Linked DNA regions of Drosophila melanogaster. The protein of the gene in region 3 interacts with the protein of the main gene of each other region in a pairwise test. Each region holds a gene or a part of one and is shown on either strand. Other genes may lie near its edges.

Region 1 (5,447 bases), on a different chromosome or scaffold from region 3:
CGCGTTTCGTAGTCCCTCCGCCCGTTTCCAGACCTACCTTCAGCACCCAACCGATACCCAGTCGAAATTCGCAAGCTCCTCGAGTCCATGTGTCGTGTTAACCAATTCTCAGCAACCATGGCCAAATGTGGCTCCACTTTGGGTGCCAGAGGCGGGCGAAACAAAGCGAAGGCACAAGAGAAAGTAAGAAAATTTCATTTGCATCAATCACCAAGAACTGATTATGGAATAAGTAGTTTGTACTCTTTATTTGCCACAAACACGGGCAAACTCCCAAGAAATCCCAATTCCATAACCCATAACCCTTAATCCAAAAAGGGGCAACCCACGAAGGTCGAGAATGCATATCGTTATATTGTTATATTATATCGTGACATATCAAGAGCTCCCAGTAGTAAGACACTCGGATGGCTCGACACAGCTAATATAGTGACATTTTATAGAATTTACTTACATTTTTGAGGCATCTGACAAGTTTGATATATTTATGCAGAAGTGAATTAAGCAAATGCAGCGTGTATGCAGAGTGGAATTTTTGAAATTTTTTATACATATACTTTTATACACACATACATACGTACCTTTTCGATTATGTCTACGCAAACTAAGTTGTAATCCGATTAGCTATACTGACACTGACACTCCAAGTCCGCCCGATCCCCTACCCGCCTCCACACCAACCACGCGGTGGCTTAGGTCAGTAGCCACCCACTGGTGGGCGGTGGTGCAGCGGGAGCGGGCTCGGGTCCGGAAATATTTTCAAGAGAATGCGCCGCACCACCGATTCGGGTCAGTTTCCTTTGGCTAGAGCTGTTCTTTTCAAAATATTGCAAAACACTGAACCCCATCGAAAGCTGGGCTTACATAATGCTCTCCATGTGAGCAATCTGAAAATCTATCTAATAAAGAATCCATGTTGGTTACAAATGCAAGCGAGAGTTTTCTTTACGTCGTGATACTACTGAAATGCGTGGTCTTAATTACATAAAAAGATATTTGCAAATTTTAATTTTAAGTTGAGCATAACAAGTATTGTTCTTAGAGTACGGTAAAGTTACTTTGCCTTGAAGAACCTGGTCTCCGGAACATCGAATCCATTAAAGGGACTGGCGATGGGCATGGTGTAGGCTCCCATATTGCGAAAGCCTAATAGATCGCCCGGATTCAAGTTGGGCAATAGCAAGTCCGATATCTGAAGGCGAGGTGGTGAAAGTTATTATGTTGAAAGTCTTTAGAAACTCACTTACCTTATCCATAGCATCGCAGCTGGGTCCCCAAATCACAGACTTGAGTTTTGGCAAGCTCTCGGCTTCGTCCTGGAATCGGAGGACAATTTATTATTACTTGAACTATTTAATCAATAATTTAATACTATAAATACTGTTTAAGCACTTTTAAAAAAGTTGTTAAATGATAAAAACAATTGGAGCACACTTCTCTTCTTACCAAGTAGAGCTCGGGAGCCACCTCTTCAGGGTAGTAAAACATTCCTGCGAACGCTCCGAAGATTCCATCATTCAGGTAGTACATCATGGTGTCCAGCTTGCCATCCTTGCTGCGGACTTCCCGCTTGGCATGTACCTTGCAGATCAATGTGTATGCGGCCTCCACAAAGAAGCGTCCTGGCTCGGAAATGATTCGGATACGCTTATCGGGAAAACGCAGCTCCACTGATGTGTTTACCGACTGCGCTATCTATAAGGAATGTGTTTCATCAACAATAGCTCGAAATCTAGTCAATTGCTGTACCCACTTCCTCGAACATCTCATCATCAATGCCAGGAAAGCCACCGCCAACATCCAATAGTTCCATCTTGTGACCTATCATCTCGCCGACCTTAAAGATGTTTTCCGCCTTCTCGATGGCCCGATCGTAGGCCTCCACCTCGCTGCATCCGGAGCCCACGTGGAAACTGGTACCGGTTACCTTCAAACCTAAGGCCTTGGCCAGAAGCATTAGGGCTGCGGCGTCCGCCTCCGCATCGCATCCGTATTTGTCGCCCAAGGGGCACAGCGCCTTTTTAGCCTCACTTTTGAACCTCACGATGAGGCTGGAATAACGAAACATATCACTACCAGAAGCTCAGATACGTATAGACTTACTTGGAGTCGGGATAGTGTTTTCTCAGCTTGTAAATCTCGTACTCGTTATCCACCGTACCGTTGACCACCTGCTGCTCCTTGGCGTACCTCAAGTGGCTAGCAGGACGACAGGGATGTGCGAAGATAATGCGCTCAGGCGAAACGCCAAGTCCCAGGACCTGAAGGAGTACATGGAAGTTATGGGAATGGGTAGAGAATAAATGAATAAATCTAAGCGTATTCTTTTCATTCAATACCGATCTTCATTTATTTTAGTGAATTCAACTGATAATTGTCGTTTTGAATCTTATGACATTTAGATTTGATTTGTTTCCATATTGTTATTATTCGCCATTTAATCCATCGATTCAAGGTCGATCTCAAATTTGGAAGCTTGGAATACCCAATACTCGGAAAGCGCATCCGTACTTACCAACTTAAGTTCGTTTTTGGAGGCGCAGTCGAATCCAGTTCCGAGATCCGCCAGAAACTTGACCACCACCGGATCGTCGTTGCACTTGACGGCATAGTGGGGCTCAATCCTGGGCATAAGCTTGTGCCAGAGACGGAGCTTCCGCTCCAGGCTGGACAAGTCACAGATGTTGAGGGCCTGGTCCAGATGTTCTAGGTCTGCCTGCTCGATAACCTTGCGAATGTTGAGCTCTTCATCGTAGTATTGTATTCTTAGGTCTCCGTTCACCATCTCGATTAGACTGATACTGATACAAATGTGGTCTGCCTGCCCACAGAGAGTCCCAGCTTTGGGATTATCTATTAGGAAGTGACAAAAACATTATTTATACATAAACGATGTCGACTTTGGACATGAGATGGATTGCTTTTCGGTTTTTTTTTTTCAAGGTCTACGCATCCGTAAATTATGCTACGAGTCAAGTCAACAAATTTATTAAACTAGAACTGGTGGCAATTAAAGTTCCAGTTCATTTGCATGATTGATTTCTAGGCAAATTATAAGAAACTGATACTTAAGATATATTTGATGGATGACAATTTTGGGCTTTTATCGCTTACTGCCTTTTAAATAGATGATTTGTGTGACTTAGAACTATTAGCGAAAAGTATGACAGATCTACTGACTTTCATAGTAACATTACCGTAAGTTGTGAGATCCAAAATTGTTTACGCATGAATTCCCAGCTACGAAATACACATCTCAAATGCTCCTTTTACATACATGAAGATATTTATGGGCCTAACAATCCACCAGCCAGGTATTTTTATAAACCCAAGTCTACTACATATAAAAGTTGTAAGCAAGTAAACAATAGAGAGTCCACAAAATGTTGGTTTTATTGGATTGAGTAAGTGATTTAGTCATATAGCTTGGAAGTACAGGGTCTTGGGGACTTCGAATCCATTGAATGCACTGGCAATGGGCATGGTGTAGGCGCCCATGTTTCGGAATCCCAAAAGATCGCCTCGGTTTAGGTTGGGCAAGTGCAGGTCCTCCGAAATCTGAAGAAGAAATAAAACATTACTTGGTATTGCTAAGTTTCAAGCAACATTTGACTTACCTTATCTAGGGCGTCACAACTTGGCCCCCAAATCAAGGACTTTAGGTGTGGCAAAGATTCTGCATTGTCCTGTGGGAAAATGAAGTGAATTGGGTCTTAAAAACATGTAGAGGTCTGAGCTATTCAAGGGGAACCCCTCTTCTTTTTAACAATGTTCAATGACAACTAAAATAATGCATATGATAATGGACAATCTTACCAGATAATGCTCTGCAATCACCACTTGATGGTCGTACAGAATGCAGTTGAAGGACCCATAGACGCCGTCATTCAGATAGTACATTACGGTGTCCAGTTTGCCAGCTTCGTTCCTGATCTCCCGCTTGGCGTGGATCTTGCAAACCAAGGTGCAGGCTGCCGCCACAAAGAAGCGTCCTGGTTCGGCGATTATGTGAACGCGTTCGTCGGGAAAATGACGCTGCACCGAGGTATTCACACTTTCGGCTATCTGTAAAAAGTTTCCTCTGAGCAATTGCTTCAAAATCCTCTGCTTACTGCATTACACCTTCTCAAACTTTACGTCATCGCTGCCAGGGAACCCACCGCCAATGTCCAGAAAGTCCATGTCATAGCCCAGTAGTGCGCCGAACTTGAAGAGGTTCTTGGCCTTCTTGATGGCCCGATCGTAGGCCTGCAGCTCGCTGCATCCGGAGCCGACGTGGAAACTGGTGCCGGTCACCTTCAGCTCCAAGGATTTGGCCAGCAGCATTAGGGCCGCTGCATCCACATCCGCATCACAGCCAAATTTGTCGCCCAGTGGGCACTGTGCCTCCTTGGCCTCGCTCTTGAATCTCACGATCAGGCTGGATAACAACGTATAGATATACTAATGATCGCATCCGACGGTAGTGCACCTACTTGGAGTTGGGATAGTGCGTGTGCAGCTTGTATACCTCGAACTCATTGTCCACCGTTCCGTTGGACACCTGGTGCTCCTTGGCGTACTCCAGATGGCTGACAGGGCGGCAGGGATTGGCGAAGATGATACGCTCCGGCGAGACATCGAAGCCCAAGACCTTTGAATTGAATTCATGAAAAGAATAATAAAGTTATTAAATTATACGAAATTCCGACAAGTAATCAAATACCAATGTCTGGGCTCTAGAACAACACGTGTTAATCGCTTGAAAAATGAAAACCTACATTCAGAAATTGATAAGGCCCAGAATTACGTTCCATTACTTGGAACATGACTATATAGTACTTTGTACTAAAGTATTTATAAAAACATATTAGTGTGGCACCAAAAACTATGAGATGCACTACCAGGACTTAAGGCACTTGTATATGTAGTAACTATTCCCAACCCACCAGCTTGACTTCGTTTTTGGAGGCGCAGTCGAATCCGGCTCCCAGCTGGGCCAGCAGCCTGACCACCATTGGATCGTCATTGCACTTGACGGCGTAGAAGGGCTTGATCCTGGGCAGGAGCTTCTGCCAGAGGCGCAGCTTACGCTCCACGCTAGACAGGTCGCAGATGTTGAGGGCCTGGTCCAGGCGCTGCAGGTCGCACTCCTCGATCACCCGGCGGATGTTGAGCTCGCGTTCGTAGAACTGGATTTCAGGGGTAGCGGCCGCCATCTCGGAAAGATCTCAACTGAGTGAGTGAGTGGGGCGCTCGAGACGCGGCTAATCCCATACTAGAGGTGTTATCAGTCAACGACTTGTGCTCGAATCGCAACAGACTTGCGAAACATTTGGAAACACGCTCCGTAAACGTTCCTCGCTCGGCGGGAAACAATGAGGCTCTAATTAGCGGCAAAGGTCAAGCGATTGGCCGTTACCCTCCCCTCCTCACTCCTATCCAGCCCAGTGATATTTGCCAGAATG
Region 2 (7,340 bases), 8.2 Mb from region 3:
GCGCGTCTGCACCCAGTACATCGACGAGCAGTTCCGCCAGTACTTCACCGACGAGAGCGGCCTGAATCGCCGCAACATCCAGGACAATCGGGTGCACTGCTGCCTCTACTTCGTGCCGCCATGGGGCCACAGGTAGGATCCTAAATAATTTTCATTGTTAATTATGCTAAAAAATTTAATATATGGATTACATGAGGCTTGAAGAAATGCTTACATATTTATTTATTAGACTAGAATTCATTACATATAGAGTTTTAATATTAGCGTTTCATGTTGTTTTATTTATATATTAATTTTTTTGTTTGTTTAGTAAATGCCACGATAATGCGAAATCCACTTTGAGCAATTTTTCATGCGTAACAATTATTATGTTACGTATATTATATACGATGATTCTTGATTATTGTGGAATGTTTCATGACAAATTTTGTGCGTTCTTGGGTTTCTGGATAGCGAAAAGTACTTTACATATTTTTGATATTATTGTAGAAATATGGAATATAGTGATGTTAACTTCAATCCTATTTTCAGCCTGCGACAGATGGACCTCGATTTGATACGGCGGCTGCACCGCAAGGTGAACATCGTGCTGGTGATCGGCAAGGCCGATTGCCTCAACAAGCAGGAGGTGCGCAAGCTGAAGGAGCGCATCCTGCAGGACCTGGAGGACAACCACATCCAGCTGTATCAGTTCCCCGAATGCGACTCCGACGAGGACGACGACTTCAAGCAGCAGGACCGCGAACTGAAGGCCTCCATTCCGTTCGCCGTCGTCGGCAGCAACACCATTCTGGAGGTGGCCGGCAAGAAGGTCCGAGGGCGCCAGTATCCGTGGGGCGTGGTAAACGTGGAGGATCCGGAGCACAGCGACTTCATCAAGCTGCGCACCTTCTTGATATCCACGCACATGCAGGACCTCAAGGACACCACGCAGGTGGGTGATACTATTTTATACTACTTTTAGAGCGAAAAAAAAAATGCCGCCTTATCTTTGAGCATTACTAATACATATACTCTTGAAATGTTTCAGGACGTGCACTACGAGAACTTCCGGGCGCAGTGCATCTCGCAGATTTCGCAGCACGCGCTGCGTGAGCGCGGCAAGTTGAAGCGGGACTCGATTAGCTCGACCAATGGATTCGACGCGGCCATCTCGGAGACGGACAGGCTGCTCCTGCAAAAGGACGAGGAGATAAGGAGGATGCAGGACATGCTCACCCAGATGCAGGAGAAGCTCAAGCAGACCCATCTCATGGAGATGAAGAAGAATGACAGCGTGATCGACGTCTAGGGAACGGAAATGGGAACGTGTTCAATTTTGCACCGCCATATATGCATCTACCTACTATATAGGACTTATATGGTGACCCAGAGAAATCCTGGAGCAGCTGCAACCAAATCGACTTTGTTTATAAGCTAGCACAGACTTTTTAAAAACAAAAACAAAGACACCCAATTAAATTCAAACAAAAACAAAACTGATTAAGACAACGACTCTCCCCCCCCAAAAAGCACAAAGAATCCGACGAACCAAAAACTTCAGACATCACACAGCCTTTTTCAATTTTGTAGCTAAAGTAACGATTTCGTTAAGAACTAACGATTAAATAGAACACGTCTATCTCGAGACATTAGATATTGATCAACACGATAACGATATTATACCAAAGTTTAGGGAGTTTCAAAAACTTAACGCAAGTAAATTGTTAATGGAAAAGATCAAGAAACCACAGAGGCACATAGAAGTACCGATAACGATAAACGGAAAGACATAGACAGATCCCAAAAATGTTTTAATTTATTGTACAAGTATAATTTTGATATATTTGATTTCCTTTTGTTTTGGTTTTAAAGAGCAAAACTTGAGAATAGGTGAGTTATAAGCAAGTTTGCTTTATTTATGTGTAAAGAACTTATACCATTTATATTGTAAGAATATATCAGATCGGATGATATAGGACAAACCGCTGGAGGTTTTGGCACTGAATTTCCATGAATCGACTTTCAGCAAGTTCCAATTATTTATGCTAATTACGTATTATCAGATATATGTATCTATGAACAAAACCTATTTTGTTGAAACGAATTGTTAATGAATTTATTTTAAATTAATCGATTAAGCCTTCACGCAACAACCATAATATTTAAATGAAATTATAGTCGAAAAATTATATATAAACATAGCGATTGCTAAAAATCGATTTCAAATAAAGATAAAAACAATTTAAATGGTGCATTTACAAACGACATTGCCTTGGAGAACTCTTTTTAAATTTGCAGATTGGTTTTCCTTTTAAGGAAACTACTCGAATGCTTTGAATTAAAAGCGGCTAAGTGAATTAATGGAAACCAACAACTAATTTAGCAGTCTATGATTTTAAATTTTGAAAACGGCCCGTGTATCCCGCTTTGAACTGCTTATTTCTGACACTGCTTGCCAACTGCTTGCCGTGACTGCCAGTCAACGAGTGCAACAGTTGCGCATCACTGGCTGATTTGCACACGGTTATCGATAAGTGCTTGATTTGTTGCAATGCCGAAGGGCGGGAAAGAAGAGGAGATTCTAGTTAATTTAAACAAATTAAAACCAAATTAATTGTGACATATATGATTTATTTTTGTAGTTGTTGCTGTTGTTGTGACAGAGAGGCGAATCGTTTCGATAACATGGCAGCGATGACGTCACGCGCCACGCAGCTGGGACAGCAACAAAAACAATTGGATTTGAACCGGCAAGAACTGAATATTTTGGCATTATTATTAAAAATTCAGTATTTTGGCATTGGCGCGGGCCAAGATACACTCATACACGCAATTAGCACACACACGCACACCGCAAGTGCGAGCGAGATAGCAAGCACTTACTCATGCGAGCGGAGAAGAAAAGCAAAAACAAAATAAACGAAACTGAGAGAATTCTGCAATATCATATTCGGATGTGGATGTGATTGTTATATTTTGTTATTAGTTCAGCGACGCCACTCGTCGTCACCCGTAAACGATGTCCGAAGATGCCAAGAGTAAGTGCACCCAGTGAGCTGGCACTTAATGCCACAGACCCATTAAAATCGAATAAAACTCCAGGTCCAGGACCACGCACACGGAACATCATCGAGAATCAGCTGTTCCGCCGGCAGCGTAGCCTAAAATTGGAGGCACTGCAGCGCCAGCGGACCTTGGATTCCAACGATGGGGTGGAGGGATTGGGCGCAGATACGGAACCCTTCGACAAGGTCAGTTATTTTGCATTTCATGAGGTGCTGCGCATGGTTTATTTACGACAGATCTTCATCTATCGCCAACAACAGACGCACATCGTCATCATCTTTACGGAGAAGGCCAAGCTAAGACACTGTCAGGATGTGGAGAAGATCATTCAGGAGTTTGGCATCCAGACCACGCTGGAGATCGTAGGGTAAGATGGGATTGCGTTAGATACATAAAGAACAGCAAATCATACAAGTTGTGTGCTTGAAAACTACTAAGAAGTACTAAGAAAATTTAAATATTTAAGCCATGGAAAATCATTTATATAACGCATTAGAATATAAATTTACAGAAAATATTAATGCTGTAGTATTATAAAGTCTATATTATTAACTCATACGCAAAAACAAAAATGATTTTACATAATCAATAGTAACAAAAGAAAACTTGAATGAATTACATAAATTATTCAACGAGAAAATGTAGAAAATATAGTTTAAAAATCTTCACAGATGTTACATTAATGGCTGTTCCTATAAAATTATAGCAAACTTTCAATGAAAAACAATTAGGATTTAGGACACATCAGTAAATCATTTTAAATTAGCAAACAACAAGTGCATTGTTTATAATACAAAAACCAGATCTTTTGATCTCCAATTTGTTTAGAAATGAAAATCGATTTAACTATTTGTTTACGAAAGTGCCTGGTTAAGCACTCCTCCAGATTGGCAAGCAACTAATCCAATTAAATTTCGTACAGGAAAACCGAAAAGTATCTCTACCTATCGGCCAGCGTGGATACTCTGCTCCGTTTGGCCGATGCCGCCGAGCTGGAGAAGATGACCACCACGCACAGCATGCAAAAGTTCAATCACGGCTGCATCTCGGACTTTCTACTGCCCGGGATGGGCAAAGAGCAGATCCTGCGCTACTGCGAGATACCTGTTCTCATCAAGGACGTAATCCAGGACGGCATTAAGTCCTACGTGCAAAAGGGCTACATAGAGGATATGTTTCCCCTCCACGATATCGTAAGTTATAAATATATCCTAATTATATACATGGATAGATTGTCTAATGTTATGCAATGCATCAATCTATACACTTAGCTGTATCTCGAACGCTTCAACTGGAACCTGAAACGCACCAAGCTGCCCATCGAGGACATCCGGAACTACTTTGGTTCCAGTATAGGTCTTTATTTCGGCTTCATCGAGTTCTACACGAAGGCACTGATCTTTCCCTCCCTTTTTGGTATACTCCAATATGTATTCGATCTGAACATCTCGCTGGTCTGCAGTTTCTACGTTGTTTGGACCACGGTGAGTTAAATTGTTAATTTTCAAGGCGAAACAAAGTAAACCTTTGCACAATAAAAATAAATTGCTTTTACAGCTTATAAATCTAAGTATAGCATCACTTAAGTGCTCTTAAGTTGGAAACTTTTAAGTGCTATAGTAAAAATAGCTAGCATGTATGTATTTTGATCTTGCAGTTTTACCAATTTTCAAGTTTGAATAGTTTAAATATATCTATACACCGACTAAATCATTGCCACAAAAAACAGTTAACTAAAGATTAAATACACTAGAGCTGGCATAAAACGTTATGGTTTTGGTCTTCCAATCGATTTTATATTAACATATTCCTATATTTTTAGATTTTCCTGGAGTTGTGGAAGCGTAAGTGTGCCGGCTACTCGTATCGATGGGGCACCATTGAGATGAGCAGCCTGGACAAGCCGCGATCCGCATATACGGGCCAATTGAAACCGGACCCCATCACCGGCAAGATGACACTCCACTATCCGATGCGGTACACATACCTGCAGATGTACTGCATCTCGTATCCGGTGGTGCTGGGCTGTGTGGTTGCCGCCGGCTGGTTTGCCCTCTACCAGTTTCAGATCGAAGCCGAGGTGCTGGCGGATTTCGGACCAGACTCCTGGCTGCTGTACGTGCCGGTTATTGTGCAGTCGGTGCTGATTGCGATCTTTTCGTGGGCATACGAAAAGCTGGCCACATTCCTCACCAACCTGGAGAACCATCGAACTCGATCGCAGTACGATCGTCATCGGGTCAATAAGCTGATGCTCTTCGAGATCGTGAATAACTTCTTCTCGCAGTTCTATATTGCCTTCGTGCTGCACGATCTGCGCCAGCTGAAGTACCAGTTGATGATGCAACTGCTGGTCTTCCAGCTGCTGTGCATCGCCCAGGAGATTGGTATACCGCTGCTGGCGGTGCTGCGCCAGAAGTACGCCGAGTTCCGTCATCGCGAGGTGGCCGAGGAGAAGCTGCGATCCATCAGTGATCTGCCGCGCTACGAGCAATCGTTCTACGAATCCGGACTAGATGAATATCATTCCACGTACGAGGACTACCTGCAGGTATGCATCCAGTTTGGATTCGTGGTCCTGTTTGCCGCCGTTGCCCCATTTGCCGCCATTGGAGCTCTGCTGAACAACGTCTTTGCGGTGCACATTGATATGTGGAAGCTGTGCAACATCTTTAAGCGACCATTTGCAAGGCGCGCCAAGAACATCGGCGCCTGGCAGCTGGCCTTCGAGCTGCTCTCAGTGATGTCGTTGCTTAGCAACTGCGGTCTGCTCTTCCTTCAGCCGAATGTCAAGTGAGTTTTGGCCTTTTTCTGACTTTCTTACTGATAATCATCCTTTTTTTAATCCATCAGGGACTTCTTCTCTCACTGGCTGCCATCGGTGCCGGATCTTTCGTTCGTAATCTTCGAACACTTGCTGCTGGGCCTGAAGTTTCTCATCCACAAGGTTATTCACGAAAGGCCGCGCTGGGTGCGCATCGGACTGCTAAAGGCGGACTTCGAGACCAGCCAGGCTCTCAAGCAACTCAAGTGGGTGTAAAACGAATTCAATGGAGAAACAATAAAACATCTAACGAACTATGTACTTGCAGAAAATTCAAGGCGGAGGCCAACAAGATGGCCTGATGGGCCACAAGATCGCCGGATCTCCCACTCCACTCCTTTTGGTGCTAATGAAACCAGTCCATTTTAAATGTTATTATTTATAAACATACGACTAATCGCGTTTACCGCGAATGTTCGAGACCAACGGAAGTAAGGTGCCTTAAACCTAAAACTCATATAAATATGTCCACAGAGTACTTAAGATACTGCTTTTGTCTGGCCGGGATTAGCGTGCGCCTCGGAAGTGCCGGAACGCCAAGTAGGCATCCAGGGCATGCAATATTCCCGCTGCATAGCCCATGTACTGAAAGTTAAGGAGTTTAAAGGGATTTTTGGTTAAATATAGGCATATTTTTTATTTAAATCAGCAGTACTTACATAGCAGGCTGTCATGGCCGGATATGCCCAGAATCCGGGTCGCACCAGGAACTGCGGATGTAGCCATACCACGCAGGCGAAACCCATGTAACTGGATGAGCTGAAGTACATGCAGCTGGCGAGGCCATTGAACAAGGTCTCCTGGAATAAGAGCAATCACCATATCGTTAGATCAGAAAAAATTAAAATTAAAATGCATCCTTCAATTTGAATTGAATTTTGTGTTCGAGCAAGTTAGTAGAGAATCTATTCTTCACTTGGAAAAGCGCTCCAAGTCAACCTACGAATAGTGACTGCCGAATGAGACTGTAGGATTTGTCGGAGAAGGCGTAGCACAGTAGCAGGATGCCAGTGGTGGTGAAGCAGTGGCCGGTTGTGGCCAGGAAGCTGGTTAGCGCCTGGCCAATGGAATCGGCGTATGGTACGCCGTAGCGGATGAGCAGTCCCTCGCAGAGCATGGCCAGGCCCAGTTGCATCAGCTTCAGGAGGCCGATCCGCGACAGAACGAACCCGAAATTGATGCAGGTGCAGACGCGACAACAGCATATCCGAATGCCCAGCGGCTGGCCCATTCCTCGAACTCCAAACGAGGCCATGGTCTGATTGCAACTGATCCGGCGATGCAGCGACTCCGCTTTGTTGTATGTTGTCGTAGTGCCAGCCAACCAGGTTCTATAAATAGCTGCCGATACACATGGACCCCAAGTGGTGCATTTCCTTGCATTTCCAGCGACGTGGCAACAAATCCACCCCAATCTCCAGCTAAATTTAGAACAGCAATTCACAATGGGCGAGGATTTGTCTATGCG
Region 3 (5,007 bases):
ATATATATATATATATATAGATAATTTTAGATTTTATACACAAGCTCTGTGTCTCTAGGTGTAGTCTGCTTTATTCGGATAGAAGTTTGCTTCTGGAACCCCTTGTGTAAAACTGTCGTTGTCATGCGAATGGAGTTCGAGTAAAATTTCATCGCATCCTTAAGTGACCCTATATGGATTACCAAATTTCATTAAGTAAATCAAGTAAAGCTATCAGAATGTTGTATAAAAATATTGCAAGCTATTTCAATTTAATAAAAATTTATGGCTTGAAGATGAGCAGTACGACTTTCACTGCTATCAGCTTAATGAAGACAGGACGTACAGAGTTTGCCGTAAAGGCTTGCATATATATATATATACATATATATCAAAACCTATGGTCCTTATGAAAGTAACCCAGCTAATATATTATGTATATAATATGTGTTAGAAAGTCAATGTCAAGGTCAGCATCTTAAAGAGTTAACTCGAGTAATCTTCTCTCGAAAGCTCTGCAACTTTGTTATAAAGTTCAAGCTCTCAATTTGTCATTAAATTTAATTTGTATGTTTATTCCCCGCATCCAAGGGAAAAACTATAAAATCCAACTGATTACAGAATCTTTGCAACATTGTAGGGAAGCTCCATTTATAATTCCTGATTGCTTTTTACAATATTTCATTTGTAATTTGATTAGGAAAGCTTTAGCAACATTTTGAGCAACTTATGGCTTTTTAAATTACTTTTCTATAAGGAATACCCAAAAGTATGCCTTGAATATAAAACAGTTGATTCATTGAAAGTAAACTGAAAAAAAAAAAAATTGAAAACCATAAATACATTTAATCAGAATGAGGCGAACTAAGCCATTTATAACTGTATAGATTAAAGATTTGTCAAAACCTCATTAGTTATTAACTACAAATTCAGTAGCCAAATTTTCACATATAATTTTGAAAACCCGGATCAAGAATCAGTCTATTGGGAATTTTGAAAATTTTCGACCCGGCAACACCACACATACAAAATTCTATACATTTGAACACGTGTGGGTTTTCTTATCACTGAGACTATTCAATCTGTCTCATTTTCTGTTTTGAGCTAACAAATATATATATATATATATGTATATTCTGTATATTTGTTTAATCTGTTGTGCATTGCTGACTCATAAACTCACGCCTGCACATACAAATTTACCAATAGTAACTAATTACTAAGTATATTCTGCAGTACTCTTTTTTTGAACATCAGTTTTAAATATATTATAGGTAAAATATAAGGAGTGTGCTTCGGTGATTCCTGTCTATTCTAATTAAAAATAGACTCAATTTCAAATTCAGTTGAAAGTAGCAAATCAACAATATATGTTAATATTGTGAATGGCAAACCTATAGAAATCTAAAATTCTACCCACCCACCCAAAATAAAAATATAATTTTTCGTTCGTTTTCCTGTTCGTGTGCTTGATTTTCGTGCACTTGCAGGTCTGAAATCTGGGACATTGGCCAGATTTTATTAATTTCCAAGGCGATCAAGTCATGTACAGCATTTAAATCGTCAACCAAGATTAGAACCGAGTCCATCGGGGACGCAGCCCACCGCCACGGTGCTACTCATAAAACGAAGGTGTCGTAATAGTCGACATCGTGACCGGAGACAAAGGATATCTCCTCCAGAATGTTGATCAGCTTGAGTGTGGCCTGGCAGGGCTTGATTCTCGGCAGCTGGAGCAACTGCTTCGTGGCTATCAGATCAGCGGGAGTGATCCGATTGCCGTTCACATCGCACTGTCCCTCGTGGGTGTCCATCAGACCGGGCGAGAAGCTGAGCACATGGACACCGAAACGATACTCCTCGGCGGCCATGGCGCGGAAGTACATATCCCTGGCCCGTTTGCACGAGCAAAGCAGACCAGCATGGACCAATGGACGTACCATCAGCGATGAGGTCACATTCACCGCCAGCTTCTCCACTCGCTCCAAGTGCTTCGATTGCAGCCACGTCTGATTGAGCGCCACCGGAGCATAGAGCTGCTGCTGGACATAGGCCTTCCAATCGTCGTCGCTCTGGGGTTCCAGGAGCATATGCGTGGCCGCCTTTCCCTCGTTGTGAAGGATTATGGAACGCTCGAAGCGTTGATTGTCCTTATCCGCCATGAAATTATCCATCAATGCCTGTTCCATTAGCTGCACACCATTCGAGTGATCTTTGTCCAACTTTCCGATTGTCACCTTAACGTTCTCCGTCTTCAGTTCGCTCCGGAGATGATTCTCCAGCTCCCGAAGCTGCTCCTGATCCTCATCCAAGATCAAAGCAAGGGATCCAGTGGCCAGGCGACGGCAGAACTCCAGCGCCAGGGATTGACCCAAAGGATTTGAGCTGCCGCTCAACACCAAAAAGGTGCGTCTATTTAAATCCATTCTCTTTGCTGCCATTATTTTGATTTAAAGGATTTCGGGTACTTGAGGATTTCGGGAACTGAAGAATCTTCCACTTGTTTTCACTTGAAGCTGTACGACTGTACTGATGCCTTATTTCCTCCGGGCTTTGCCAACTGGACTCTGTTTTCGACTGATAAGCTTTATTCCGATTTCGATTGGCCAACTATATGTGCATATATATGTATTGTATATATATTTATGCTCGACTGAGCAACTCAGGTTCCGATTCCGTATGGAGAAGCGCTCTGGACTGGTGGGGATGTCAGCTTGGGGCTTTTATACAACCCAATCGACTGATAAGCCGGGGTTCAGGCGTCTGGTCTTGTTGCCGTGCCATTAACCATTTGTAATGTTTGGGATTTTGGCACCGTAATCCGGACCCATGGCGCATCATTTAACCTCTGGAATCTGATGGAGTGGTGCGCCAATATTACGCATCGGGGGCCTGGTCCTGGTAAATAGACATAGTTTAGATAATGTCCTAACAAACAAATTGCTCTATATGCTTTAACATAGATTATACTTTTCATTTCATTTTATACTTTCATATTAGAATAAGCTAATTTTTTCAAGCCCCTTTTGGCTTTGCCACTGTTTCCCATGAGCCAAAAACCTGATCGATTGTCATCTTGAAGTTCATCGAGTTCCTTTGATATGGCGCTAAGTCAAGGTTGTCTTTTTAGTGCAAGAGATTAACCAAAGAATTTTGTAAACAAATCAGTTGGCAACAATTAATAGTGTAGCACAGATGGGGACAATATTATGTGGAAAGTAGAATAGTACATTTTATAGTTTTGTCTAAGCAAAGTCCCTTCTTTTTTTTGCAAAACAAATTAAATAAATTTCCATTCATATAGTTTTTTCCCATTAAAACTGCTTTCCTATTTTAAGTATATATGTTTATTTTCCGAATCACATAACAGGTTATCGCATTCAGTCGTTGAACTTTCGTAGACGAATAAAATGCAAATGGTTTTTGCAATTACATAATACATATAATATATGCCTGTGAATTACATGGGTAGTGTAACACGTGTGAATTTAATGAACTCTCTCGTTACTAAACATCCGTTAAATCGCATGTTTAAAGATAACGTAAGGTACATATATATTAATGTGTCATATAGGGGTTTTTTTTTTTTTGCCTAGAAATGTGATTTTTCCATATTTCTATAGACATTATCGATCGGAAGGGAAGTGCTTTAAAATCTATATTCAAGATCTATCGATAGACGGCAGTGTTTCCAGAATTTGCTGTTTTGACTATATTTTCGCCAATAACAAGCTCGAATTAGGTTAATGGCCTTATTATATTCCGGTGGAGTCTGCTGCCGATTCCCGGATTCTCGTTTCGAGATGACGCTGACCCATTTAGAAATCGGGAACGGAACGCAGTTCTAATCGTAGTATAACCAAATAAGCTCACATTTGATGGAGGGAATAGCTATGCAAAATAGAGTATACAGATTATCTAAGTCGCACTACTTCCCTTTTCTTATAATATATAATTACATATTAATATATTCATATATTGCAACATAACTGCAAATCCAAGATCAAAAATAAACCTCTATGCACCTATGAATGCCAAAATCTTGATAACTTTGCTGTTTTGCTTGTTGGATAATGACCAGTCTTGAATGGCTGGAACATCTTGGTTGGTGTACCCCTACTTCATTGTTAGCCACTCACATGGTATCGTCCAAAGTTCTTGGAATTCACCAGTGGACAGTGGCAGTGGGTAATAGCATCACATCTGTCTGTTTATGTTGATTTAGGGGTATTATCAAAAGTGCGCGGGGCTTTCAAGCCGAAGCACGTAGCATCGCAGCTTTAGTGGGCAGGCGTGGACCTAATGGAAAGCATATTTGGAACACAGGCTATACCTGAACCTGACCCTGTCCTCCGTTCAATGTCGTTCAGCGGGAAAGTGACCCCTAGAAGATTTCATTTAGCTGGAAGAAAGAGTGAAAATTTCATTCACCTCGATCAAAATCGAGAGCAGCCCAGCTGCGGAAAACTAATGCATGAGCACAGCTTTCGGCGATCTGCGGTTTTCGGGTTTATCACGGTTATATAAGCCGTGTGGACCGCTCCCACAGTCAGTCCAAACTTTTGACGAGCCAAGAACACAGTGATCCGATAAGAACCTTTACAACATGCTAGCCTGCAAGCTTCTTCTCGCGTTGGTCATGGGAATGCACTGCATTCAATTGGTAAGAAACTTAAAAATCGATTAGTGTCCATCGAAGTGGGAGTGCATTAGAAAGAAAGTGAATTTGTTAAAAAAAAAACAAGGATAAGCTTTCGAACGAACTGATCAACACTGCTTAGTGTGCAGTGATTACAAAAGCTTAAGAGTGCTTCCTAGAAAGATTTTTAACACTGTTTACTGGGTGGTTAAAGGATAAAGGGATACAAGAAGTTTCCGTGAATTAAGAATAGTTAATATAAAAGGATTGAACAGATGAAAGGATGCTGCTGGTCAATGAACACTGTGTGAAATTGCAATTGGAGATAGGGATGATACCCCATGTGTTACTTGGATCTAACAAATATATTAAAGAACTGAACCGACAAA
Region 4 (4,994 bases), on a different chromosome or scaffold from region 3:
AAATTCCGCATGAGACAAATCCGTGCAGGGTCGATCTAATTCGCTTGAAAAAAGAACTGGGACGCGCAATGTTTGAAACTACGCAGAAAAAGCACAACAGTTTGGTCGCTACGAACTATGTAAAGACTTGTCTCAATAATCAAATAAAATTGTTCTTGGCAATGAATGATTTAACATTGTAAACTTCAGATTGGTTTTATTTTACTTTGCAATAATATTTAAGCATTAGAAAGCATACAATACAAACAATACAATCAACCGCACTTGAATAAGTGCGAGTTTCCATTATTGAATAAAGTTTAAAATGTATCCTTTCTAGCCAATAGCTCTTTCACTGCTTATTTAGATAATTTTTACATACTACTGTTTTATATTTAAAGACTAATTTATGTTTGCCTGCCTTGACTGACAGACATTTGTTTTCTTATTCGAGCTTGAGCCTCAGGTGGCCAGTTTTTTAATTCTTCCTTGCCACAAGGCAAGCAAAAAGAGGCTGTATAGTAGAAACTGCAGCCAGGATCCTTGCACACCGTCTTGGAGCAGATGGAGCACTTAGTCCCCATTGCGATATAGTATTCCGGCTTTGACTGCCAACGAGGTGGAGGTGGTTGGAAAGGATCTCGCATCACGTAGTTGTCCTCTGGGTATATGACTCCTAGAGCAAAGGGCGGTTTCCGTCCAAAATAATGGACCATCTCGTGCATTTCACAGCCAGAACAATTGAATTCGATGCGTGCTACTCGTTCATCCTCTTCCTCGGGATCAATGGGCTTTTTAAGCTCCTCGGGAAGCTGTAACCGTTCAATTTCCTCTGCCTCATTCTCCAGGACGAGGTCGTCATCGGGATCCATGTCTGAGATTTTCTAAAAGACCAATAGAAAAACACAGACTGTGCAACTTATACGAGGACTATATACATTTACTACACTTATAACAATAGTATGATAACAATATTTGGTCAAATCAGTTCGTAAGTCACTCAGCGAAAGCCATGCGACGCTTTCCAGGCAAATCCTCCGGCCACCATTCTGGACGTTCAACATAACAGCGCTCGCCATCGATCATCAACTCAGGACGGCCGTTGAGAACCTTCTCGATGCGCAGCAGTGCAATACCATGCTTGTGCGCAAAGCCAAAGACGCGTCCAAGTTTCGCTCCAGCCAAAGAAGTTACGTCCTGGCTGGAACCCACATCAATTGGGGCCGTCAACCGGATGGGCATGTATCGCTTGCGGATCACGCCCGAATGATGGACGCGGGCAGTTAGCTCCTGGCCCACATAGCAGCCCTTGTGGAAGCTCACGCCATGCAGGTAATCCGCATTCGCTTCGAGGGGAAAACATTTGCCCGGTGTCAGTTCCGAGCAGCCCTCGCCCACTCCTTGCTTGTAGCGCAGCAGTTGATAACTATTGTCGGAGGAGGCTGCTGTGGCGGTACCGAAGTCAGCAAAACATTTGGACAGCTTGGACCAGTCCATGTCGGTGGGGGCCAGGATGCGAGTGCCAAGGACATGCAGCCTCGGGTCGGGAGACACAAATAAGTCTGGATGTGGATTGGGTACAGCCTCCGAAGCGTCCTTGAGGTTAAACATAACCCAAGGGGTATACTCGTCGTCTACACTGTCGACCTCAATGCGCCTGCGAACGCGGTAGGTGCGAAGATGGCGTCGGAAGTCCGAGGAAGCCTCCCGATCGCACTCAACAAGGATGGTTTCCGGGTTGTTGGTGCGGTACAAGATGGTGTCGTACAGCAGCCTGCCCGCCTTGTTGAGAAAATGGGCGTACATTGAGGCAGGACCCCCCGGCGACTGAATCCGGGCCACATCGTTGGTCGCAAGACCCTGCAGGAATGGCACCACCTCGGCCCCGTGGACACGGATGAGTTCTCGATTTCCCAGCGGCTCCAACGTGAAATTGCGCTGATTTGGGCCCACCGGACGGGCGTATGGAATCCTCATCTCGTGGAGATTACGTATGTGATGGCGCACGGCGCGCAGAAACCACGGATTCGAACATCTATTCATGCTGCAAAATGGAGGCATCTGTTGCCTGCAATTGGTACTGGAAATGCCAACGGAAATCGCTCTTACCTTGTGCTGGAAATTTGATTAAACTTATTCGATATATCTAGCAGCAGAAACTTAAATTTGGTACTCAAAACAAAGTCGAGCAAGGAACTGATTTTTTGGCACCCGGTTCATAACATTTGGAATTGACAGTTCGTTTGGAGATGAGCGATTGGACTTCTTTTTTACGTGACACGAATTGTGGTGGAATAGTTAAATATCACTGAATATCTTACACTTGCATATGCAATAAAATTCGTGTGAAATATGTCTGTATACTTACAATTTTATTTTCTCTAAGAATGTAAAAAGTACTGTAAATTTAAATGAATATATTTTACGGTATATTTTTAATGGCACTTGCCGATTGTTTCTAGCCGCGAAATTCTCTCACGCTCCCATCGCCAATCAGCTGTTTCTTATCGTGACACCACATCATCTTGTTTTCTTTGGCTTATTTTAGCACTTTATACGGGGAAAATCGGTATTTCTTGGCGCTGAGGGCGCAGCCACTCTGCTGAAAACACAAGAAATTTGTTTTAAACAAAACAAAATGACTCAATATAGCCACGTTAAGTATACACAATCGCCGACGCCGTCGGTGGTTTCCGGCTACTCGAGTGCCTCGCGTCTCCATTCGCCATTACCGCCACCCGCCAACCACCGGAGGGACTGCCTCTCGGCGACCACCAAGAGCTACAAATACCTGCGACGTCTGCTCAAGTTCAATCAAATGGACTTCGAGTTTGCCCTGTGGCAGATGCTCTACCTCTTTGTGGCGCCCCAAAAGGTGTACCGGAACTTCAACTACCGGAAACAGACCAAGTCACAGTTCGCCCGCGACGATCCGGCCTTTCTGGTCCTCCTGGTCGTCTGCCTATGTGGTGAGTTCTAATGCCCAAGCATTCACACTCCAAAAGGGAGGAGGGAGATCCCATCTGCATCTGTTGTCATCTTGTACCATATCTACAGTTGGGCACTAATAACTTCTCTTCTGCTTATATCTAGTTAAAAGCTTAAAGTTAACGAATTTCATCAGTGTCCAATAAGATTACTATTGTACTCCAGCCTTATATAGAAACAACCTGTTAGAACTAATCAAAAAAAGGCCGTCTAATAATGTATGTATCTTTCAACAGTCACCTCCCTGGGCTTTGCGTATGTGCTGGGACTGTCTTTCTGGCAGAGCATCTCGTTCATATTCTATGTGGTATTCGTGGACTGTATTTTCGTGGGCATCATAATAGCCTCGTTCTTCTGGGCGGTGACGAATCGGTATCTGCGCACAAATAGCCTGGAGCCGGATATCGAGTGGGGCTATGCCTTCGATGTCCATCTAAATGCCTTCTTTCCGCCACTGATGCTGCTGCACTTCATCCAGCTGTTCTTCTACAACTGGCTGATCAGCCAAACGTGGTTCATCTCGCGATTTCTGGGCAACACCTTTTGGTTGATGGGCATGGGCTATTATGTGTACATCACATTTCTGGGATACAATTGTAAGTTATTAAATGCATCATCAAGTTCTCGAATTAAAAAGCTTTCCTCCTGCAGGCATTCCCCATCTGAAAAACACCCGCATCATTCTCATCGCCCTGCCCATCATCTTTCTACTGTTTCTGGTCGTCACAATTATTGGTTGGAACGCAACGATATCCTTTGTCAATTTCTACAAGTATCGCGTATATTAGTAATGCAATGTGCGTTGTAAATTATTCTGCGTTTAGTTGCTAAGCCACTATACTACAATTATGACTAATAAACTAATTAATTTAGCGTTATCCAAACCATATTATTGCAGCCTCAGTCATTTTTTCGATGATAAAACCATCTTTATAAAGTAAAATCGTGGAAAACTATAAAACAACATTTTTTCGATATTTTTATTCTAAAAAATGAACAACAAATGCAATTACGCCAGCTGCTTGGGCTTAATGAAAGTGCGCTTGCGCTTGTTGCGTTTTCGCTGCAGCTCCAGGGCGTGCAGTTCCGTGTGCACCTCGGCGAAGATCTCCGTCTGCTCCTCCTCGGGAATCGAGCTGCGGTAGTCCTTCATCATGTCGTACTTCTCCCATGGTTTCTGCACCTTGGCCGCCGACAGGCGATGCTTGTCTTTTAGATACTCATCGATGTTGGCCACACCACGCAGATTCTGTCGTTCCCAGCGCTCCAGCCATGGACGCGGACGGAGCACCACCTTAATGTCGTTCACCGGCACCGGAGCACCCTCCTCGAGCGGCTCGGCCTCCATGTTCTCATCAAAAGTACTGTACTCCGGAAGAGCGTCCCGCAGGTAGAAAAGACTGTCATCCAGTCGCTTCTCTAGCCGCAACACCTCGATCTTTAGGATGGTAGGATCATACAGCTCGTAGACCACCTCCATTCCCTGGTGATCAATCACGTTGCGAAGAATGAAACGGGCGCGCAGTCCACAGCGATCCCTATTGATACAGATACCCACAAATCGACTGGTTTTGCCAGCGGCATGGGGATCCGAACTTGTCACCGCAAGCACAGATCCAACGTAGAACTCGGGCAGGTCGATCTGTTTGCGGCGATCCAGCATGTCCAGTCGCTCCAGCTTCTCGCGCACGAGGTTGCGCCACTCCACCTTCGGATCGGGCAGGAATTCTGGGTAAACAAACCGATAATTGGCCGGAATGATTGTCTTCCGGTTCACCGGTGAAGTCGGCGTGGTTGGCGGAGCCTCTTTCTTCTGTTCCTCCTGATTTTCAATTACATGTTCCGCAGTTTTGGTGGAGAAGGTCACTGAAAATACGTTTCCTGAATGTGTGGCACAAGATAAAACGTCTCTCCTTACCAATCCGCTTGTAGACACACTGCTGTGTCAACCTATTCAGCATAACTCTTGTGCTTAAGTTCATTTTGAATAGTTTTCGGGATCGGCTGAAACAAATTGATGTTTAGAT

What was found.
Region 1: the proteins of CG12116 (region 3) and Odc2 interact in a two-hybrid assay, tested with the Drosophila melanogaster proteins (one large-scale study listed by BioGRID).
Region 2: the proteins of CG12116 (region 3) and Axs interact in a two-hybrid assay, tested with the Drosophila melanogaster proteins (one large-scale study listed by BioGRID).
Region 4: the proteins of CG12116 (region 3) and Unc50 interact in a two-hybrid assay, tested with the Drosophila melanogaster proteins (one large-scale study listed by BioGRID).

Annotation. Positions count from the first base shown.
Region 1 is NT_033778.4:8,004,602-8,010,048, reverse strand, and holds Odc2 (ornithine decarboxylase 2), read right to left. Parts: upstream 2,804-5,447; 5' UTR 2,786-2,803; coding exon 2,516-2,785; intron 2,262-2,515; coding exon 2,104-2,261; intron 2,052-2,103; coding exon 1,754-2,051; intron 1,696-1,753; coding exon 1,447-1,695; intron 1,317-1,446; coding exon 1,248-1,316; intron 1,193-1,247; coding exon 1,055-1,192; 3' UTR 987-1,054; downstream 1-986. Other genes in the region: Odc1 (ornithine decarboxylase 1), read right to left, coding at 3,418-3,558, 3,618-3,686, 3,817-4,065, 4,123-4,420, 4,476-4,633, 4,929-5,198. UniProt on the Drosophila melanogaster protein: Catalyzes the first and rate-limiting step of polyamine biosynthesis that converts ornithine into putrescine, which is the precursor for the polyamines, spermidine and spermine.
Region 2 is NC_004354.4:16,679,102-16,686,441, reverse strand, and holds Axs (abnormal X segregation), read left to right. Parts: upstream 1-2,546; 5' UTR 2,547-3,001; coding exon 3,002-3,020; intron 3,021-3,084; coding exon 3,085-3,233; intron 3,234-3,308; coding exon 3,309-3,415; intron 3,416-3,970; coding exon 3,971-4,241; intron 4,242-4,319; coding exon 4,320-4,532; intron 4,533-4,657; exon of another isoform or gene 4,658-4,870; coding exon 4,871-5,841; exon of another isoform or gene 5,842-5,901; coding exon 5,902-6,078; exon of another isoform or gene 6,079-6,140; coding exon 6,141-6,174; 3' UTR 6,175-6,353; downstream 6,354-7,340. Other genes in the region: Septin4 (septin 4), read left to right, coding at 1-132, 532-934, 1,031-1,291; sing (singles bar), read right to left, coding at 6,380-6,457, 6,532-6,672, 6,816-7,127.
Region 3 is NC_004354.4:8,466,335-8,471,341, forward strand, and holds CG12116 (uncharacterized protein), read right to left. Parts: upstream 2,679-5,007; 5' UTR 2,421-2,678; coding exon 1,599-2,420; 3' UTR 1,109-1,598; downstream 1-1,108. Other genes in the region: Cp7Fa (chorion protein a at 7F), read left to right, coding at 4,586-4,642.
Region 4 is NT_033777.3:8,674,142-8,679,135, reverse strand, and holds Unc50 (Unc50 RNA binding protein), read left to right. Parts: upstream 1-2,522; 5' UTR 2,523-2,617; coding exon 2,618-2,948; intron 2,949-3,203; coding exon 3,204-3,563; intron 3,564-3,618; coding exon 3,619-3,755; 3' UTR 3,756-3,853; downstream 3,854-4,994. Other genes in the region: CG33325 (uncharacterized protein), read left to right, coding at 1-182; CG11755 (uncharacterized protein), read right to left, coding at 387-851; CG8043 (uncharacterized protein), read right to left, coding at 976-2,022; mRpL19 (mitochondrial ribosomal protein L19), read right to left, coding at 3,977-4,833, 4,886-4,949. UniProt on the Drosophila melanogaster protein: Required for cell surface expression of acetylcholine receptors.